4 linked regions of the Arabidopsis thaliana genome follow. The protein of the gene in region 1 interacts with the protein of each later gene in a pairwise test. Each region holds a gene or a part of one and is shown in the gene's direction. Other genes may lie near its edges. The genes, in order: AT4G01410, AT5G50520, PHT4;1 and AT3G08930.

Region 1 (3,752 bases):
CTTCATCACAACCTCTACAACATCACAAGCTTCTTCGACTTTCCCGAAGCTACAAAACCCTTTTACCAAACAATTTGAAACCGAGAAATGAGGAGAAAACCCTTTGGATATCATCTCTTCTAGATACTTCTTCCCTTCATCAAACATTCCTTGATCACACAATCCTCCAATCAAAGTCCTATACGAGACCGAATTAGGCGAGCAACCGTTAGACAACATATCATCAAGAACTTTCCTAGCATCCATCGCACGATCTTCTCTACAAAACCCGAGAATCATCGTGTTGTAATGAACAAGATCAGGATTACAACCTTTTAACTTCATCCTACATAGAAGCTTATAAGCCTCTCTAAGCTGTGTCTTCCTACACAAACTGTTCAACAATGTCGTGTAACTTAACCTATCAGGCACGAATCCTTTATTCAACATATCATCAAGTAATTCCATAGCACCATTCACTTGACCTTTCCTACAAAACCCTTGTATCAGAATCTTATAAGAATCCACATCAGGGACAACATCTCTCTCAAGCATTTTACCAAACAGTTGGTATGCAATACTCAAATCATCATTCAAACAAAAAGCTTGCATCAATAAATTGTAACTTCTCGTGTTAGGCATTACTCCATGAAGCCGTGAACTCTTGAAAAGCTCAAAAGCTTTCTGGAGATAACCTCTATGGCTTACGAGAACATCTAGAATCCGATTCAGATGTTTTGGCTGCGGCGTGAAATTGAACTCCAGCATTTTGTAAAACGTACTTAAGACTTTCTCCGGTAACTTTGCTTCTGCGTAGACTTTGATCAGATAAGTGAAAATTTCTCCGGTTAATGGATAACCACTTGATCTGTGTTTGGCGAGAACGTCGTCGATAAGATTGAAATATCTACCACGGCCGAGTTTGAGAATGAGGATTAGATGAGAAGATCGAGAATGGCGGAAATTGGGCTGTTGAGAAGCATAATCGAAAATCTCCTTGGCGAGGAGAGGATCCGATTGCGAAGCTATGAGCTTTTGAACCCGAGTCGGAGACCCGATTGGGGATTTAGGGTTCGAGACAATCGGTTTTCGAGCTTCATGTTCAGATGAAGAATAGAACAGAAAACGCGAGGATGTCGATAACGGAGAAGTTAAGTGGCGAAAAACGGCGGCGAAGTCGTAGATCGGCCGGCGAATCATTTGTCGGAGTTTTTTTTTAATAAATCGGCCGTTGGAAGTGAGACTTGTATCAGTCAGCAAATTATCAAATATCTCTCTGTACACAATAGTTTTAGTGTAGGCCCAATTTTATAATGGGCTTATAATTGAGGCCCAGGTAGCATCCACAGCATTGTCGGTGACTACAGTGTCGGTGGTGCGGTATCTCAGTTAGTGTGATTAAATAACAGATTCTTCTTAAATGTGATTATTATTTATTTTGGAAGCTTACTAATAATATATGGAATTTGGTCAGAAGTATTGTTGGAGATGTGGACATAAAAGACTTGTACTTTTATTTTCTAAACATTAGAACAAATATGACACATGTGGTATCTAATTAATTTATTATTAATTGCTTTATACAGTTGATAAAGAATTGTGAAATATGATAATTTAATTTTCTTTCTACATAACCGTATTCTGGCATGCAAACAGATATTAGGTTATTGCTAACTTTGACAGGCCGTAACCTGATAAATTTCATTCTAATTTTTTTAAAAATTAACACGGCCAAAAAGTGATAGTTATCACGTTGCACGAAACCATAGTTGTCACCAAATAAGTCAATCATTGACAACAAAGTATTTGATTATGTATAGCCATATGTATACACGTTACATTGGATTTTTCATTTTTAAAAAATTCATCACTCATCAGATCCGTCACGTGAACGGTTGCACCGAGATTTGGAGTCTTTCGAAAGTACTTCTCTATCTTATATTATTACATTAAGTATTATAACAAAATAAAATCACAATGTAAAAACAGTAGTAATTTACGGCTACTTTATAAAAAGATTAGCTTTAACACATAATTACAACTACAAGCTTTCTAAGTTAATAAACAATTAATAAAACTGTACTCTAGAAGACTGTTTACTCTTATTAACTAGAAAAGAGACAAAACCTTGCATCTACTTATCTTCTTTCTTCTCCTCCTCCTTCTTTAGAGTCTTCACTCTTCACCGAACCCTCTGATTCTCGTATAGACACACACATACCTATACATACACACTTTAACACTTATATCTGTAGAGTATAGCCATGGGAGAAGGAGAAGCAAAAGCAGAGCACGCAGCCAAAGCAGATCACAAGAACGCTCCCTCCGCTTCTTCAACGCCAGAATCTTACTCTAAAGAAGGCGGAGGAGGCGGTGGAGATGCTCGCCGCGCAATCTGCGGCGCGATCTTCACCATCCTTGTCATACTAGGTATCATAGCCTTAATCCTTTGGCTCGTCTACCGTCCACATAAACCACGTCTCACCGTCGTCGGAGCCGCCATCTACGACCTGAATTTCACAGCGCCGCCGTTAATCTCAACCTCCGTTCAGTTCAGCGTTTTAGCAAGAAACCCTAACCGGAGAGTCTCCATTCACTACGACAAGCTCTCTATGTACGTAACGTACAAAGATCAGATCATAACACCGCCGCTTCCACTACCACCGCTTCGTTTAGGACATAAATCTACGGTTGTGATAGCTCCGGTGATGGGAGGCAACGGTATACCAGTCTCGCCGGAAGTAGCTAATGGTTTAAAAAATGATGAAGCTTACGGCGTCGTTTTGATGAGAGTGGTGATTTTTGGGAGGCTACGTTGGAAAGCTGGTGCGATTAAGACTGGACGGTATGGATTTTACGCCAGATGTGATGTGTGGTTGAGATTTAATCCATCTTCTAACGGACAAGTTCCTCTTCTCGCTCCTTCAACTTGTAAAGTTGATGTCTAGTCTTAATTTTACTTCGTTATGTTTTCTTTTTTAATCTTTGTGTTTTAGAATTGTAATCTTTTTTTTTTGTGGTCATGTTAGTGATGAGTTTCGTCGAGTCTAGTGTTAAAATAAATTAAAAGGCATAAGCCAAAAATTATAAGTACAAGTATATTACTAATTTTATATTTTACTTGTGATAATTATTTTGTTTCTCTGTTGTTGGACCTGTGGATGTTAATTAATGACATTTGACAATACAAATGTGTTGTCGCTAATAGCGTATCTTGGCATATGGTGAGTTCATCGACACAACAGCTCAGAGTGTTTGATCAGACATATGGCATCTTCAGGCAAATCTCATTTTGGTTTTATCATATATATATTTTTCCCCCATTATTACGGAACTATTTCCTCACGATTATAATTAAATACTTAGAATATTACTATGCTTTTCTGTTTTCCGATTCAATGATATTGTTTTTTTGTAAATCTGAATCGGACGTTAGGAGTCTTCTGAATATAAGTTACATTTTTTGAATGAAGCATCCGTTTAAAACGAGTGACTAAAATGATCGTGACTCCACAAGTCATCGCGTCAAATGTAAAATTTTCATGTGAAACAGTGAAAGCGTCAAATCTAAATAATATTGTGGATGATTGTTGTGAATTTGATTAGTTGACCTGATTCAAAAATTTGATTGGTATATCATGTCAATTTTTTCTCTTTGGTTTTGGCAACTTATATCATGTCCAATTTCTTTTTGTGTTACCATTTTTCTCGAATTTTCACACGTTTGTTCTTTTTCTTTTTCCTCTTTTCCTTTTCCAAAACCCCATTTTGTC
Region 2 (4,472 bases), on another chromosome or scaffold:
GCGGGTGATATCCCAAAACCTTCCTCAAGAGACAACTACTGTGGAGAAGGTAAAGTTTTCGTTAAGTTCGTGTTTTCGCTATATATGTATGTATGCTTATGCTCGTTAGTTTTGAATCTGGTTGAAATTATTCTTTTCAACTCTTAGATTTATATGAGTACTCATTTTTCGTCTTTGTTGTTTCTTTTCAATCCCATTATTCTATAGGTTATGACACCGAATCCAGAATCTGCAACAGTTGATATGGCAATTGTTGAAGCCTTACATATCATGCATAATGGCAAATTTCTGCATCTTCCTGTATTGGATAAAGGTAACAAAATGTCCTCAAAACTGACTTTGAGCTATAAAGTATGAAGCATTGTTATTTCAACACTTGTCTAATGTTGATGATTACATACAGATGGAGATGTTGTCGCTGTTATTGATGTGATCCACATAACTCATGCTGCTGTTACTACGGTACACTTTTTTTCTTCTATTATTCTCTTCTAGTTGAAGTCGAAAACATGAGACAAGATCGATAAACAATCCGAGAGAAGAAAGAACATGATATATTTGTTGCATACTATTCTTGTTTTGCTATAAACTCTTTATTTCCTTTTGACAAGGCTGGAAGTACGGCTGGAATAAACAATGAGACAGCAAACTCAATGATGCAAAAGTTTTGGGACTCTGCTATGGCTTTGTCTCCTAACGAAGATGGCGATGAAACGAGGAGGTTTCTACTCATATTCCTTTGAACCATTTAGTTTTGACCATAAGGTGGTTTCTTAAACTGGATCATATGATTTTTCAGTGAAGAAGAGTCGATGAAATTATCTTCGGAGATAGAAGTAACAAAATCATTTTCATATCCCAACACATTTGCTTTTAAACTCCAAGATAAAAAGGGACGAATGCATAGATTTATGTGTGGTACGTTAAATCATAACTCTTGAGAAACAGGACACCTATTATGCCAATGCTGCTTAGTCCATTAACCTTTTGTTTTTACTTTTCAATAACAGAAACACAGAGTTTGACAACTCTGATAACAGCAATCCTACAAAGAATGGGGGATGACATTGAGCCTGATAACTTGCCTCAGATAATGGTACATATTTATTCGAAAACTTATTAAACGAGAAGATAGGAAAAATTTTCTTCTTTTGTTGACATATTTTGTGTTGTGTAGTACGAAGATGAAGACAATGACAAAGTTGTTTTAGCATCAGATAATGATCTTGGAGCTGCTGTAGAACATGCAAAATCAATAGGCTGGAAGGTAATAAATTGTACATCCATACTTATTGTCAATTAGTGTAAAGAACTAGGATGAAATGATACCTTAAATCCGCGGTCTCGTTTTGGTTAATGTGGATTTTGGGCTAAAGAAGAGTATATTTGGGTTGGGGATTCCAAATGGTGCAGGGTTTAAAATTGCATTTGGACTACACAGAAGAAAGAGGGCACAGGAGAGGTCTAAGTTCAGAGGATATGGACTACGACCAGTCAAACTCATGGGCAGCCGCTTACAAAACGGTTGCAGCCGGGGCTGCTCTTGCTGCTGGACTTGGAGTTTTGGTGTACCTTAAGCGCAACTCAAACTAACAGATTCATTTTGGGGAGATACAAAAGTGAATGCTTTTGCAAACCAATTTTTAAACCTAAGCTTGTGAAGTGTATACCTCTTCATTGATTCGTGTTTTTTTTTTTTTTTTATCTTGTTGCTTATTTGTTTCTCAACCTTACACATGAATTGTATATAAATAAGTAAACATTTTATTTGTATTTACGGTGTTGTCCAAACTTTTCTTTGAAACTGAAAATTACAAAATAAGTAATCATATGAATCAACGAAAAAAAAAAAGAAATAGAAAGTTTTGAGAGCGTTTGACTATGATGACTTTGTGGCGTCACAAACTAGAGCTCCTAGTCAACGACCGATGGCTAGTTTTCGTCTGCGCCATGTGGGTCCAATCCGTCGCCGGCGTTGGCTATCTATTCGGCGGCTCTATGTCTCCGGCAATCAAGACTTCCCTTGGCTACAATCAGAAACAGATCGCTCTTCTCGGCGTAGCTAAAAACCTCGGTGACGCCATCGGATTCGTCTCCGGTGCTTTATCTGAAGTCTCACCTTCCTGGGTGGTTCTACTCGTCGGTGCAACTCAGAACCTTTTCGGCTACGGTGTTGTTTGGCTCGTCGTCACTGGCCAATTGCCTAATTTGCCTCTCTGGATGGTGAGATGAATTTTACAAATCAAAATTGCTTACACATTTGCGATTTCGTTAGTAATTGTGCTTTGCTTTTGATTATTTGTACGATTCTCTAATTTTGGCTTGAACTTCCAGATATTCAAAAAAAAAAAAAAAAAAAGATGTTAAAGCTTACATATGAGTGTGATCCTGCTTGATTCTGGTTTATTTGTTCATGTAGTTGTTTGTTGCTATATTCGTGGGAACAAATGGGGAAACATACTACAATACAGCGTCGCTTGTGTCATGCATTCATAACTTCCCAGAAAGCCGAGGTCCTGTGGTGGGAATCCTGAAAGGGTTTTCTGGCTTGAGTGGAGCAATCTTGACTCAGGTTTATTTGATGTTCAACCCTTCTCATGATTCTTCGGTTATTCTCATGGTTGCTCTTGGACCACCAGTCGTGGTTCTTGCTCTACTATTTATTGTTAGACCCGTGGAAAGAAGTTGCAGAACGAACTTGCGATCTGATGATTTAAGATTCCTGGCTATTTACGGTTTCTGTGTTGTCCTTGCGGTATATTTACTAGGATTGTTGGTACTTCAGAGTGTTTTTGATATGACTCAAACGATTATCACAACCTCTGGAGCCATCCTTGTCATTTTCATGGTTGTTCCAGTTCTTGTCCCTTTTTCATCGGTTTTCATCTCGGGTAATAATGTCACCTCAGTGAAGCCTGAAGAAGGAACTTCCAATGTGGATCAGCATGAGGCTAGAACTTTAATTGAGAGAAGTGACAGACCGCCGGAAAAGAAAAGAGCGCCGTGTATAGGAGAAGATTTCACCTTGTTACAAGCTTTGGGACAAGCTGACTTCTGGCTTATATTTATGTCTCTGGTTCTAGGTGTAGGTTCGGGAATCACGATTATAGACAATCTTGGTCAGATTTGTTATTCCCTCGGGTACAGCAACACCAAAATATTTGTCTCACTGATCAGCATCTCCAATTTTCTCGGCCGTGTTGCTGGTGGCTACTTCTCTGAGCTAATCATAAGGTACAAAACCCTTAACCATTTCACTTTCGCTTTTAAGAAGCATCTGTGTTTTTTACTGACAGATTCATCTCTTTCTGCCTCTTCAAAAGGAAACTCTCACTTCCAAGAACGTTGGCAATGTCTGTGGTTCAGGCGATAATGTCTTTGGGGCTCATCTACTATGCCATAGATTGGCCAGGGAAGATCTACGTAGTGACCATTGTGATAGGAATGGGTTATGGCGCTCATTGGGCGATTGCTCCTGCTTCAGTCTCTGACATTTTTGGCCTGAAGAGCTTCGGTTCTCTTTACAATTTCCAGATTACAGCTTTGCCTATTGGGTCATTTGTGTTCTCAGGTGTGATCGCTAGTAACATCTATGACTACTACGCCAGAAAGCAAGCCGGACCCACCACAGAGACTGAGTCGCTCGTCTGCACGGGCTCGGTGTGTTATTCAGTCACGTGCAGTCTCATGTCCATGTTGTGTCTAATGGCTATGGTTTTGAGTTTGAGTGTGGTTTATAGGACGAGGAAGTTTTACTTGAGGCTTCATCACCGAGTCTCAAAGACTTGAAGATAGTGTAATTGTGTAAGCAATTTTCATTTGGTCTTTGGAAGATATATGTAAGCAATTTTGAATTCCATACTCAAAATCTTTAATTGGTGTTCACAAGTATTTAAATGTAACATTAAAAAAATAATTGCCCTAAAAGAGTTAGATAACTTACATTACATAAACATAATTTTAATAGATATAAAAAAAATTCTTGAAAGAAAAATTAAAAAACCAACTATATTTGATTAATTTCTACAAATACCAACTATAGATTTTGAGTATTGAAATGGAACACTGAAATAGGGGAAATGTTTTACCATAAAATGTCATTTATATGCATGTACGAAATTCTTGTCAAATACGTATCACTTTATGGTTTTTGAACTTATGAAATTTGGATGCTTCAGTTTGATTGTGGGGAGAAACCTAGGTATCGTTCTTGTTCTATTCTCTTCTCCTTCGTTTTGAGATTTTGTGTATGGACATAATATGAAATTGGGAACTGATGAGTGCTTTGACTGAATTAAAAACATAACTGGAAAATATAAAATTAATATTTTTTACCTTAAGAGTCGTATTTGTTTACTAATCTTTACTACATGTTCATCATCTTAAAGGTGTTGAGAGTGTTTTTATCTTTACTTAAACGTTAATTCAAAACGAAGATAAGAGAAGCTAAGAAAATTTAATTCTTCGTCTAA
Region 3 (5,229 bases), on another chromosome or scaffold:
AATTACTCTGAATATAACTACATATTGATGAAAACTCGTCATATTTGACACTGAGATTATATATACCATGGAAATTTTGATTAGTAGAAAAAAGTTGCGCCTATTTAAAATTAATTCGTAGGCTCATATAGGATAACGATTGAAGGTCATAAATCAGATTAATTACTACCACTTGGTTGGATAAATTATTTTCATCACATTGTCGGTAGAGAATATCACATTGTACAAACTAAAAAACGTATTATTTTTTCTCATATAACCAAATCTAGAAAGTGTAATTTGGTTATAGCTTAGATGTCGTTTAGCTAATAAATATAGAAATAAAATAATAGAGAAAGGAGAGTTAGTGATGAATGATTGAAATGGTGAATGATAATTGGAGAAGTGGGCCACGTGAGAGAAGCATGTACTTTTGGAAAGTGGGTCATTTCGAAGCTCTTCCTGTCTCCATCCACATGAAGTTGGCATTCTTGTGTCTTTACGGCCTAAGTTTGCGTTTCTACCTCTTGAGAAATGAATCTTGCCTTCTTGTTTAGTGACTGGTACGGATCTAATAGTAACATGACACCATCTCATATTTCTGAATTGGACGTCTTTGAATTGAATACCATAACCTAGGTTATAGTCTACACCTACAATATTACGTGCCGATAGATCAACATGCATGATCCGTATAGTTTAGTGATCTCGTTACGTCGTTATATCAATTGGTGAAAATCATCAAGTGTTTTTTTAGGAGTGATGAATTACTGGTACATAAATTTTACGTTTCGTTTAGATTTTGGAAGACCTTGACGACACAGTGGTAGATGTTGGTAAATGGATAACGCATGCAACAAAGAAATAACGATACAACAACAATAATGATGACTTAAAAGAAGAATAAAATAAATAAAAGTGGCAGTCATAATTCATAAAAGCCTAAGCTAGGAAATTCTTATGGTAGACCAGAAGGGACACCTTCGATGAGTAAAATCTGCCGCACCACAATCTTACATCATTCTCATCCCCTAAACTTGGACCTCCTCCATTAATAAATAAGAAAGCTGCAAACGTTAATCTTCTAATTGTGATTTTGTTACAAGTTTTATAGATTCTTTGTTCTATCTAGCTACATATATTTCATACATTTCACTAATTTACAAATATGTAAGAATGTAATCAATGTAATCGACTAAGAATACATCAAACATTACCAAATTTGATTGACATTTACCTCTGTCTATTCGTCCTCAACATTATTATCCCATACGTTCATACAAATTGACATTTTACACTTAATTTTGAATATCATGATCAATACTCTCTCGCATGGGATACTTAATCAATTGTTGGATTAAATATTCTTTCGCATCTTTGTGAACGCAATTAGTGGGTGGTTTGGGTTCCACCTTTGGATCCTGCCTTTATTCCACATAAAGTAGATCACTGGTCATACTCATATCCTTACGGACAATAAACTATTGTTATTGGTATTGCCGTATTATTGTAATTCTATTCATAGGTCTACTTCCAAATCTTTGAGATTTTTTTTTCATTGGGGAAGTAAGATAGATCTCGCAATTTATGCTCGTAAGCTAACATTATTTGGGCCTTATATGGGCTTTATGTTAAACTGATAGTTAATAATGGACCTCCAATAGTTATTCTGTTAACCGTTACTTCCCGTTAGATTATGACATCCTCACTCAACCAATACTTAAACGCCACATGTCGTCACATCAGCCACGACCTTAAAAAAAAATCAATTCCTCTCTCTTAAAACAAAGAAGAAAAAAACAGAGAAGAAGAAGAAAAAATCTATCTCCGCCATGAACGCGAGAGCTCTTCTTTGCTCTTCAAATATTCACTCTCTCTACACTTCAAATCGTCCACCTGAAAAAACCTCTTCTTCTCGCAGCCTCCGTAATCTCAAACCATCTCCAAAGTCGTTACGGGTATGGATCTACCCGCGAAATAGGTCCAGTGTTTTCCGGGTATTAGTTCGGAGCTCCGACAAGAGTGAAAGCAGTAATTCGTATTACGTAGAAGGAGATAAAGTAAGTGGAAACAATGACGTCGTTTCTGATTCGCCTAGCTCTATCGTCCTCCCATGGTGGGAAGAGTTTCCGAAGCGGTGGGTGATTGTGTTACTCTGTTTCTCAGCTTTTCTTCTCTGCAATATGGACAGAGTAAGTAGCAAAAAAGATTGGATTTTTATGGATTGGGAAGAGTTATTCAATTTGGGACAGATGATGTTTTAACAGGTGAATATGAGTATAGCTATACTTCCGATGTCAGCTGAGTATGGTTGGAATCCAGCAACAGTTGGTCTGATTCAGTCTTCTTTCTTCTGGGGTTACCTTCTTACACAGGTAATCTTTTTTCCCTGATTCCTTAATTAGGGTTTCTATTTTTAGATGATCAATGTTTTTTTAAATGAGTCTCACTAGCTTTCACATTTAAATCAAAAGTGTAGTTGAATCAGTGGTTTGTTGATATTATAGATAGCTGGTGGAATTTGGGCAGACACTGTAGGAGGGAAAAGGGTTCTTGGATTCGGTGTTATTTGGTGGTCAATCGCTACAATTCTCACTCCTGTAGCTGCTAAACTCGGTCTTCCTTACTTGCTCGTTGTTCGTGCTTTCATGGGAGTTGGAGAGGTTTGTGATTACTCTTAGTGATGTTAGATATCAGTCTCGGATTTGTGTGTGTTGATAAGGAGAAGTAAGTTCTCATTTGTGTTCTCCAGGGTGTTGCAATGCCTGCTATGAATAATATATTGTCGAAGTGGGTTCCTGTGCAAGAGAGAAGCAGATCACTCGCGCTTGTTTACAGCGGAATGTACCTTGGATCTGTCACCGGTTTAGCCTTTTCGCCTTTCTTGATTCATCAATTTGGATGGCCTTCTGTGTTTTATTCTTTCGGGTCTCTTGGAACTGTATGGTTGACTCTGTGGCTAACTAAGGTCAGACTTTTTCTACTGTTCTTAACTATTTGTAGATCCCATATCTCATTACCATTGACGATTTGACGTGTGTTGTTACTTGTTATAGGCAGAGAGTTCACCATTAGAAGATCCAACATTGCTCCCTGAAGAAAGAAAGCTAATTGCAGACAACTGTGCTAGCAAAGAGCCAGTGAAGTCGATCCCGTGGAGGCTGATATTGTCGAAACCACCGGTTTGGGCTCTCATCAGTTGCCACTTTTGTCACAACTGGGGAACATTCATTCTCTTAACATGGATGCCAACTTATTACCATCAAGTCCGTTATATTACTGTCTTTTAATCAAGAGGCTTGATGTTTTATTTGTTTTCTTATCATTAATCATATGGACGGTTGTGAGGCAGGTGCTGAAGTTCAACCTTATGGAGTCAGGACTTCTCTCTGTATTTCCATGGATGACAATGGCAATATCTGCAAATGCCGGTGGATGGATTGCCGATACACTTGTCAGCCGAGGTTTCTCTGTCACGAATGTCCGCAAGGTACTTTGTATATCACTTCTTCTGTTCTTCAGTTCCGTTTTGATGCAATCTAGTAAAAGTGATACATTCGATAATCAGTTTCTATGATGAAATTCAGATAATGCAAACAATAGGGTTTCTTGGACCAGCGTTCTTCCTAACACAGCTGAAACACATAGATTCTCCTACAATGGCTGTTTTGTGCATGGCTTGTAGTCAGGGGACTGATGCGTTTTCACAGTCTGGTCTATACTCTAACCATCAAGACATCGCTCCAAGATACTCTGTAAGTTTAGTCAATTACTCCCAAGTCTTAATGAATCATGCTACTCAAAAGAAAATGGATTAGCACATTGATGTTGTTGGTCTTCTCAGGGAGTGTTACTTGGTTTGTCTAATACTGCTGGAGTACTTGCCGGAGTTCTTGGCACAGCTGCGACTGGTCACATACTACAACACGGTCAGTACTCTCAAAACACTTCGTAATTCTGACAATGCTTTGCTTAATCTTTATAAAATCTCTTCTAAGTTTCATTTTTTTTGTGTTTTCTCAATGGAATTAACAATGACATGAAATGCCTCAGGTTCTTGGGATGACGTTTTCACGATTTCGGTCGGTCTTTACCTCGTTGGGACCGTCATTTGGAACCTATTTTCAACCGGAGAGAAGATAATCGATTGATCCATTCCGAGAATAGTAAATAGTTCGGCTCCAAGACCTCTCATCAGGTGCAACTTCACCTCACGCCAGTCTCTGATTATACAAGTATCATTGCAGTCTGAGAGCTAGCCGGAATATTCCTTTTTTGCCAGAAAATTCTTCAGGATCTTTCTGCTCGTTGATTTAGGCCAAACGCATATGAATAATACTTTGTAGATGAAAGATATACAGATGATTTTTTGTAAATAAACAAAGCTCACACTTTCTCAAGATTACTCAAAATCTCTCTTCAGCTCTATATATATTTGTATCATAAAGATATTACACGCAATTCTCTAATATGCTATTGCGTAGCAAACAAGTGACCAAGAAAGAGTTTTCGAAACTTAAGGTCATAACTAAAACTTAAGATTTACTGCCACAGGTAGAATTTGATCTTGTGAAGGAGGAAGAGGAGTTTATGAATTGTATGCAGTCTTCTATTGCCGCTGATCTGTGATTATTATCATTAACGACAGAGATGACTGAAGGCTGAGATATCCCAGAAGAAGAAGCCTTCTTCAATGGTGGAGATCTCTTCTTCTTCTTCTTCCTCATCACCACCAGACGTAAGCCCATAACGAATTTACAGCTGAGATCTTTGATCAGTCTTGCTGCTGTGCATTCCGTTTTCCTCGGTAGCCTCAAACCACAGCTTGTTGTGCATCCCGGATTCTTATAATATGGTCCCTTGACTGAGGATTGCTTACCAGGAGTTACTGGTCTAGTGTTTGCATTGAACCGTTTTGTTCCTGTAGCTGACATATCAAGAGAGAGTGAGAACAAACTTGAGGAGAGTAAGGGATTATATTTATAGGGATTGATGCTGAACAAGTTGCCTATAAGAGTTCAGGTAGAGACCAGAGAAGCCATGATTCTTAATAATGTATCAATAATGACATGTTAACACTTAAAGCAATGATTACTGTAGACATTCAAAACATATACAAATAAAATATAAGCAGGTAGGTTCAATTTCATACTTACTTTAGATACTTTATGTCAAAAGGATTGTAATAACTAACAGATCTAAAGATATCAGAAACTTAAACGCCGAAATTTGGAAAGCAAAGGCAGCCAT
Region 4 (6,372 bases), on another chromosome or scaffold:
ATCAAACACAATTCTACAAGCAAATCAAGATTACTTAATTGCCAGAGAAGTAACCATAGTGAATTGACAAACTACACAATTGCTCAAATTCAAGCAAAAGATGGGAATCTCTCTGAAAAGAGAAAACGCATTTTGTTAATTTACATCGTAAGCTTCGGAGATCTGCTTGAATTTGGCTTCGGCGTCTTTTTTGTTGTTAGGGTTCTTGTCTGGATGCCACTTCATGGCGAGTTTGCGATAAGCTTTCTTCAAGTCGTCGTCTTTCGCATTCCGATCCACCTGAAGAACCTTGTAATAATCGACCCCCATTGCTATACCTCCTCCTTCTTCTTCTTCCTCTTTGATTCGCTCTTCGAATTTCACTCGATCTTCTTCAATGGGAAAAACTCTAGCGGATCATTCCGTACCGGTTCGAAATATTTATCGAGATACAAGAAATACCCGACCGGTTCTTTTATTTGGTCTTTACCGGTTCTGTTTTTGGTTCGGCAAACCTAGCTCAAAAGTCAAACCTTATCAGAATTAAGAATCACGGTGTCGTTTCAAAGAGAGGAAATTTACACTTAGTAGCCCTATATATTTATTATTTAACATTTGACCCCACTAGTATATGTTTGTTACTTTACTTTAAGCGAGGGTGATAGTCAAATTATGAAATATCTGAGGGCCTAAAATGGAAATAAGTAAGAAGTTTTGGGGTGTTCTTAAAATGAAAAATCTGAAGAACAATATCATTGGTTAAATTCCTCTGAAAATCCAAAAGAATTAAAGATGACAGTTCTTCTTCCTCAGCTAAACCATATCCACAAGCTACCAGTAGTACTAAACCGACGCCTCCGACAATCATACAGATTACCAGTGATCTCCGCCGTTTCCGGTAAAGAGCTGATACTTTCCGGCAAGGTACGGGCGGTGGAGCCCAAAGAAGCCAATGCGGTTGTGGCGTCGGAGGGATATATACTGTTAGACGTGAGGCCGGCTTGGGAAAGAGAAAAGGCACGCGTGAAAGGTTCCTTACACGTGCCACTGTTCGTGGAAGATCCAGACAATGGGCCGATCACGTTGCTGAAGAAATGGATTCATTTGGGATATATTGGGCTTTGGACGGGCCAGAGATTCACCATGATCAATGACGAATTCGCCCTCCGTGTTGTGGAGGCTGTCCCGGACAAAGAGAGTAAAGTGCTCGTCGTGTGCGGTGAAGGACTCAGGTACCAGCTTTATATGTTGCATTTTGGTTAATCATTGCCAGTTTTAGTCCAGATTTTAGAGAAACTTATCAAACTAAATAAACTATTAATCAATCGATTTGATCATAGAATCTTTTGGTTTGGATAGTATAAATTAAACTGAACTCTTTGGTTCGGTTTGGTTGTTATAAATGGTGTTGCTTTTCAATCTCATTCTCAGGTCGTTGGCGGCTGTATCAAAGCTCCACGGAGAAGGGTACAAAAGCTTAGGGTGGTTAACCGGAGGGTTTAACCGAGTATCCGAGGGAGATTTTCCAGAGATCGAAGGGACCGAAGAGCTTCGGTTCGCCACGATAGGAGGTGTATCATTTTATTTACTCAAACTACTTGTACTGTTACCGTCTTTTGGCCAGAAGAGTCGTTAAATTGGTTTTTTGGAGCCAAGTGTGAAGACATTTTTTGTTTTTAAAATTGTGTCCGGTTTACACAATTGGTCACTGGTTTATTACTTACAGATGTCTTTCATTAGTTGAAATATTTTGTCCGAATCATTTGCTTCGGACAGCTAATCTCCAAACCTAGTAACAATTTACGTTTACACCCAAAGCCATTAGGCACGAGAGCACATTGTTGAGGGTAGCTTCGTAATTTACAAGAATGTTCATCCTCTCCCAGTCCTCTTTCTTCTTCCCTCGTCTGGTTTTCGAGAGGGAAAAAAAGAAAGAAATCCAGATCTACTAAAATCCCCAAATTCAATTTTCAAAATTTGAACTCCTAGAAAACCCTAGCCTTTGCAATTGGGTGCTACATCTTCCAAATCGTTCCGGGATCGAAATCTCTCGAATTGGGGACGTTGTACATTGCACACGATGGGCGATTTCAACCTCGCTCTCGTGATTGTCGCGATCGTTGTTTGCGTCATCGTATTCATCTCTAGCATCTATCTTCTCGTCAACTATCAGCATCCAGATGATGCAAACCAGGCTTATTTCCCCAAATTCGTCGTTGTTTTTGGCCTTTCTATTGCTATGATCTCGATTCTCATGTTACCGGCTGATGTGGCCAATCGGCATGCTTGTCGACATGCTATATACAATGGAGCTTGCAATCTCACCTTGCCCATGAAGGATCTTTGGCTTGCTATTTATATCGTGGACGCTATTCTCGTGTTCTTTGTCATCCCCTTCGCAATGTTTTTCTATGAAGGCGACCAGGACAAGTTCGTAGCTTGATGAAATTTTAGTATCTCTATGTTGTAAGTTTTGAGTTAATCGAATACTGATGACAATTTGTGGGCTTTTTTTCTTTCGTTTTTTCACAGGACTCTTGGAAAGAGGATAAAAAGTGCCTTAATTTGGGTAGTTACCACGGCTGTTGTTTGTGCTCTGGTGCTTGGAATTTTATATGGTTAGTTGTTCCTCTGTTTTCAATTCTTTTGTCGACTTGAAATTCAGCGTCTTTCTGTATTGACGAATGACGATAGTCTGGAGGTTATACTTGTTTAGCTGGAGTGGTTATTGAATCCATTAGTGAGCATGTGGCAAGGATGAATCTGATGTTGGTCTCTATGATTTGACTGCATTCTTATGTTAATTTTGGCTTTTAAATTACCCAATCAGGGCTTGGGTTGAGATATCTATCTTATCCATTTATATGCTAGGAATACCTTAACATTATTGGTAACATCTTCATCATGTAGGTGTCATTGGAAAGGTGGACTTCTCGGTCAGGCATTTGGCTTCTGCCACATCCACTTTCCCTACTTCCTGGCAGTTTTCAAATACTCAACCATGCATAGGTAACACTGCTCGCCAGGTATGTTTGCCTCTTGAATGTAGCATTAGCATTAGTTTTTATATCATGAGTCATTTATGCCGTAGAGAGTTTCAGCATTTAACATATTCCTGTCTCTGGCTATCAATGCAGTGCTCAGCATTTACAGCTAATCCCACATCTGAGAAAACATGGACTATGCGTACTACTTTTCCAGAATATGTTGTTGCTCTTGCGACAATTGTTGGGTCAGTTCTTTTCACGGTATGACCATTGTTCTTTCATGTTGAGAAGTGCATTGTTTGCTTTGAAAGGATTTAATCTGTCTTATATTGTTGATTCTTCATTGACTAACACAAACTCTCAACAGATGAGATGCATGGCAAGATATAATTCTGTATCCATTGAAGTAAATAGATGTTTGATTTATACATTTCAGTAAAAAAAATCTGATAACTAATTGTTCTCTCAAATATTTCTAGATATTTGGTGGTGTTGGTATTGCATGTCTACCATTAGGACTTATCACTGCATTCATCAGGCGACCAAAGGCTGTTATCACTCGATCACAATATATAAAGGTCTGGTTATTGTTCTCCTCTGGAAGCATCTCTCTAGATCTTGAGTCAATCCCTCTGTCTCTTGCATGATTAACTCCATAAATATATTACAGGAGGCAACCGAACTAGGTAAAAAGGCAAGAGAACTAAAGAAAGCAGCTGATGGACTTCATCAGGAAGAAAGAAGTGGTGCTAAGGGCAGGAAATGGCGGAAAAATGTGAAAGCAGTTGAAAAGGTACCTCATATATCTCAAGGTTCAGTATCTTATCTAAATTTTGTTTCATAAGTAGCAACTTGGAAAGTTTGCCTATTCATACTGGTCCCTTGTGTGTAAAGAGGCTTTGGTCGTCTGTGGAGTTATGAGAATGACAACTTGTAGTGAAAAGCTAGTGAGATAGTAGAATTGGTTATTGACTTTATTGGTAGCTTTTCTTTGCTTGGTTGTGGATTTAAGCTGTGTCCCCTCAATCCTATAATTGAATGTGGTAACCCTGCAGGAGTTGCTCCAATTGGAGGAAGATGTGAACCTCTTAGAAGAGATGTATCCTCAAGGAGAGCAGGTAAGACGAGTGTATCTTAGAACTTATACTATAATATTTTTCTTGTTCAACTATTTTATTCCCTGGTACCTTTTTCCAGGCAGAAACTGCATGGGCTTTCACTGTGCTCGGATACTTGGCCAAGTTTATTCTTGGAATCGTAGGGTTAGTACATCTAAGCAGAAACCTCCTTTGCATTTTTTTTTGTTACATGTTGTATAAATCATGCATAATGCATACAGTTCTTGCATATTTAGGTTTGCACTCTTAAGCTCCCGAGCTAAGCGTCTTTTTAAATGGCAAATTTTTAATGTCTTTGTAGATTGATCGTTTCCATTGCTTGGGTTGCACACATCATCATATATCTACTCGTCGACCCTCCTCTCTCCCCTTTTCTTAACGAGGTTTTCATTAAGCTTGATGATGTTTGGGGTAAGTTCATACTTTTGTCCTTGTTATCCTGTATAAGGTTTCTTCTTTGTTTCTAACTGACTCCATGCTGGTACGTGTGGAAATCTCCAGGTCTTTTAGGCACTGCTGCCTTTGCTTTCTTCTGTTTCTACCTTCTACTTGCTGTTATCGCTGGGGCAATGATGCTGGGTTTGAAGCTGGTCTTCATTACCATTCATCCAATGAAGTAATCCATCTAACCGGTTTCAACATTATTTGGCTATTTTCCAAGGTCATTCATTACCTTCTCTTGATTGCTGATTGGCCATATCAACTTATTTCAGATGGGGAGCTACTCTAATGAACTCTTTCCTCTTCAATGTCGGCCTCATTCTTCTTTGTTCAATCAGGTAAGTCTCTCTGGTCTCTTCTTCTGCCTTTGTATCTGTTGGGATCAAGTGCACTCTGATAAACGGATCTAGATCAAGCATGTTTATGTGCATACATTAACTTATCAGTGTTTTCATGCCATCACTAAAACTAATTTCCTTTCCGGCGAATGCCTGAATCGAAGTTTATAGTTACTTTACTCATGCACTTGGGTATCCTTTGTACTCTATTAGATGTCAAACCAAGACTTTTAATATACAGCTGCTACCCTCACAATTACATGTTAATCCTCACAGTCTGAGTAATGTGGTTCATTTAAAATGCAGCGTGATTCAATTTTGTGCCACTGCATTTGGATATTACGCTCAAGCCACTGCTGCCCAGGAGATATTTGGCCACACATTGCAGTCCCTTAGAGGAATTAAGTACCTTTACAAGTAAGTAGAAGTGGTATAACATATAGCAGTCATATGCTATATCCGTGATGCGTCTTATTGAGGTTTTATATTTCAGGTACAATGTGTTCCAAATCGGGTTTGTTATCCTGGCTGGACTGACTTTCCTATATTACATTGCCTTTGTAAGTCCTCGTTGATGTTACTCCTCGGGTTTTCTCTTCTGTATTAAGTATTTGTAGAATCATATGGTCTTTGGTGTTTTGGCAGGGATGGAGAAGAAAAAAAACTAGTGGCCGTTTCCAGCTCTCTTCTTAATGTAAAACGTTTTCACGGGGATCTGATTGAGTGCTGTCGACAAAGTTTCTACTTGTTTCTGGATCATCATCGATTCCAGAAGTATCTAGAGACTCTGCTTCTGAGGTTTATTTTCCTGAATGTATTATTAAATTTCTTGTGAGTGTGCTGTTTGGTTGCGCAACAGTTAGCTGTCCTGTCTTGGTCTATTGTACTGTCTCGGATGCGATCATGTAATCATATTTTCTTAATGAGAAGCCTTCTTCGAATTTTTACAAGACAGAGACTTCCTTTGTGGTTTGAGACAATTGTAACCGAACCTAACCGGATTATCAATATTCTTGAATTTGTTTAGTATGCAAGGCATACAACTATACAAGTGGACATGTGCTGCTGAAGTGACAAGTGGCGTTGCTATGCGATTCGTCAATAGCTTCTTTTGCCCAATCAGCTTGCTTGCCTCATCTAACTCTAAAAGACAGACAGGATAGATAACGCGAGCTTTTTATAGATAAGGCTGATTTTGTTTCCTACCGTCAGATGGATTTGTTTCTCCATCTAACCGTCAAGATTCGTTCTCTGAGATCTCTCCCACACACATACCGCCACTTAAAAACGCCATTTGCTTCAGATAAGTTACAAACCGCAAACGCGACAGAACTAACTAACGACGCCGGAGATGGCCGCCACTTCAACCGCCGCTGCTGCTTCTTCAATCATGGGTACCCGGGTGGTTTCCGACATTAGCTCCAATTCAAGCCGGTTCACAGCCCGGTTCGGATTCGGAACCAAGAAAGCATCTCCCAAAAAGGCTAAGACGGTTATCTCAGACCGGCC

The links.
Region 2: the proteins of AT4G01410 (region 1) and AT5G50520 interact in a protein complementation assay, tested with the Arabidopsis thaliana proteins (one large-scale study listed by BioGRID).
Region 3: the proteins of AT4G01410 (region 1) and PHT4;1 interact in a protein complementation assay, tested with the Arabidopsis thaliana proteins (one large-scale study listed by BioGRID).
Region 4: the proteins of AT4G01410 (region 1) and AT3G08930 interact in a protein complementation assay, tested with the Arabidopsis thaliana proteins (one large-scale study listed by BioGRID).

Annotation. Positions count from the first base shown.
Region 1 is NC_003075.7:576,065-579,816, forward strand, and holds AT4G01410 (Late embryogenesis abundant (LEA) hydroxyproline-rich glycoprotein family), read left to right. Parts: upstream 1-1,963; 5' UTR 1,964-2,243; coding exon 2,244-2,927; 3' UTR 2,928-3,223; downstream 3,224-3,752. Other genes in the region: AT4G01400 (oligomeric golgi complex subunit-like protein), read right to left, coding at 1-1,179.
Region 2 is NC_003076.8:20,568,997-20,573,468, reverse strand, and holds AT5G50520 (Major facilitator superfamily protein), read left to right. Parts: upstream 1-1,812; 5' UTR 1,813-1,881; coding exon 1,882-2,223; intron 2,224-2,419; coding exon 2,420-3,234; intron 3,235-3,323; coding exon 3,324-3,789; 3' UTR 3,790-3,936; downstream 3,937-4,472. Other genes in the region: AT5G50530 (CBS / octicosapeptide/Phox/Bemp1 (PB1) domains-containing protein), read left to right, coding at 1-49, 208-313, 404-462, 612-721, 800-918, 1,011-1,096, 1,178-1,267, 1,414-1,593.
Region 3 is NC_003071.7:12,672,586-12,677,814, reverse strand, and holds PHT4;1 (phosphate transporter 4;1), read left to right. Parts: upstream 1-1,737; 5' UTR 1,738-1,811; coding exon 1,812-2,171; exon of another isoform or gene 2,172-2,246; coding exon 2,247-2,354; intron 2,355-2,486; coding exon 2,487-2,642; intron 2,643-2,731; coding exon 2,732-2,947; intron 2,948-3,035; coding exon 3,036-3,245; intron 3,246-3,331; coding exon 3,332-3,469; intron 3,470-3,547; coding exon of another isoform or gene 3,548-3,556; exon of another isoform or gene 3,557-3,566; coding exon 3,567-3,734; intron 3,735-3,823; coding exon 3,824-3,908; intron 3,909-4,032; coding exon 4,033-4,130; 3' UTR 4,131-4,514; downstream 4,515-5,229. Other genes in the region: AT2G29654 (uncharacterized protein), read left to right, coding at 354-536; JOSL (JOSEPHIN-like protein), read right to left, coding at 4,515-4,906. UniProt on the Arabidopsis thaliana protein: Specific for inorganic phosphate transport across the thylakoid membrane in a sodium dependent manner. Binds glutamate but cannot transport it. May act as an ascorbate transporter at the thylakoid membrane.
Region 4 is NC_003074.8:2,711,503-2,717,874, forward strand, and holds AT3G08930 (LMBR1-like membrane protein), read left to right. Parts: upstream 1-1,809; 5' UTR 1,810-2,059; coding exon 2,060-2,409; intron 2,410-2,511; coding exon 2,512-2,597; intron 2,598-2,889; coding exon 2,890-3,005; intron 3,006-3,116; coding exon 3,117-3,227; intron 3,228-3,445; coding exon 3,446-3,544; intron 3,545-3,636; coding exon 3,637-3,759; intron 3,760-4,021; coding exon 4,022-4,084; intron 4,085-4,163; coding exon 4,164-4,228; intron 4,229-4,385; coding exon 4,386-4,495; intron 4,496-4,585; coding exon 4,586-4,700; intron 4,701-4,797; coding exon 4,798-4,863; intron 4,864-5,169; coding exon 5,170-5,280; intron 5,281-5,356; coding exon 5,357-5,423; intron 5,424-5,508; coding exon 5,509-5,556; 3' UTR 5,557-5,864; downstream 5,865-6,372. Other genes in the region: AT3G08910 (DNAJ heat shock family protein), read right to left, coding at 145-309; AT3G08920 (Rhodanese/Cell cycle control phosphatase superfamily protein), read left to right, coding at 772-1,211, 1,411-1,615; LHCB4.2 (light harvesting complex photosystem II), read left to right, coding at 6,215-6,372.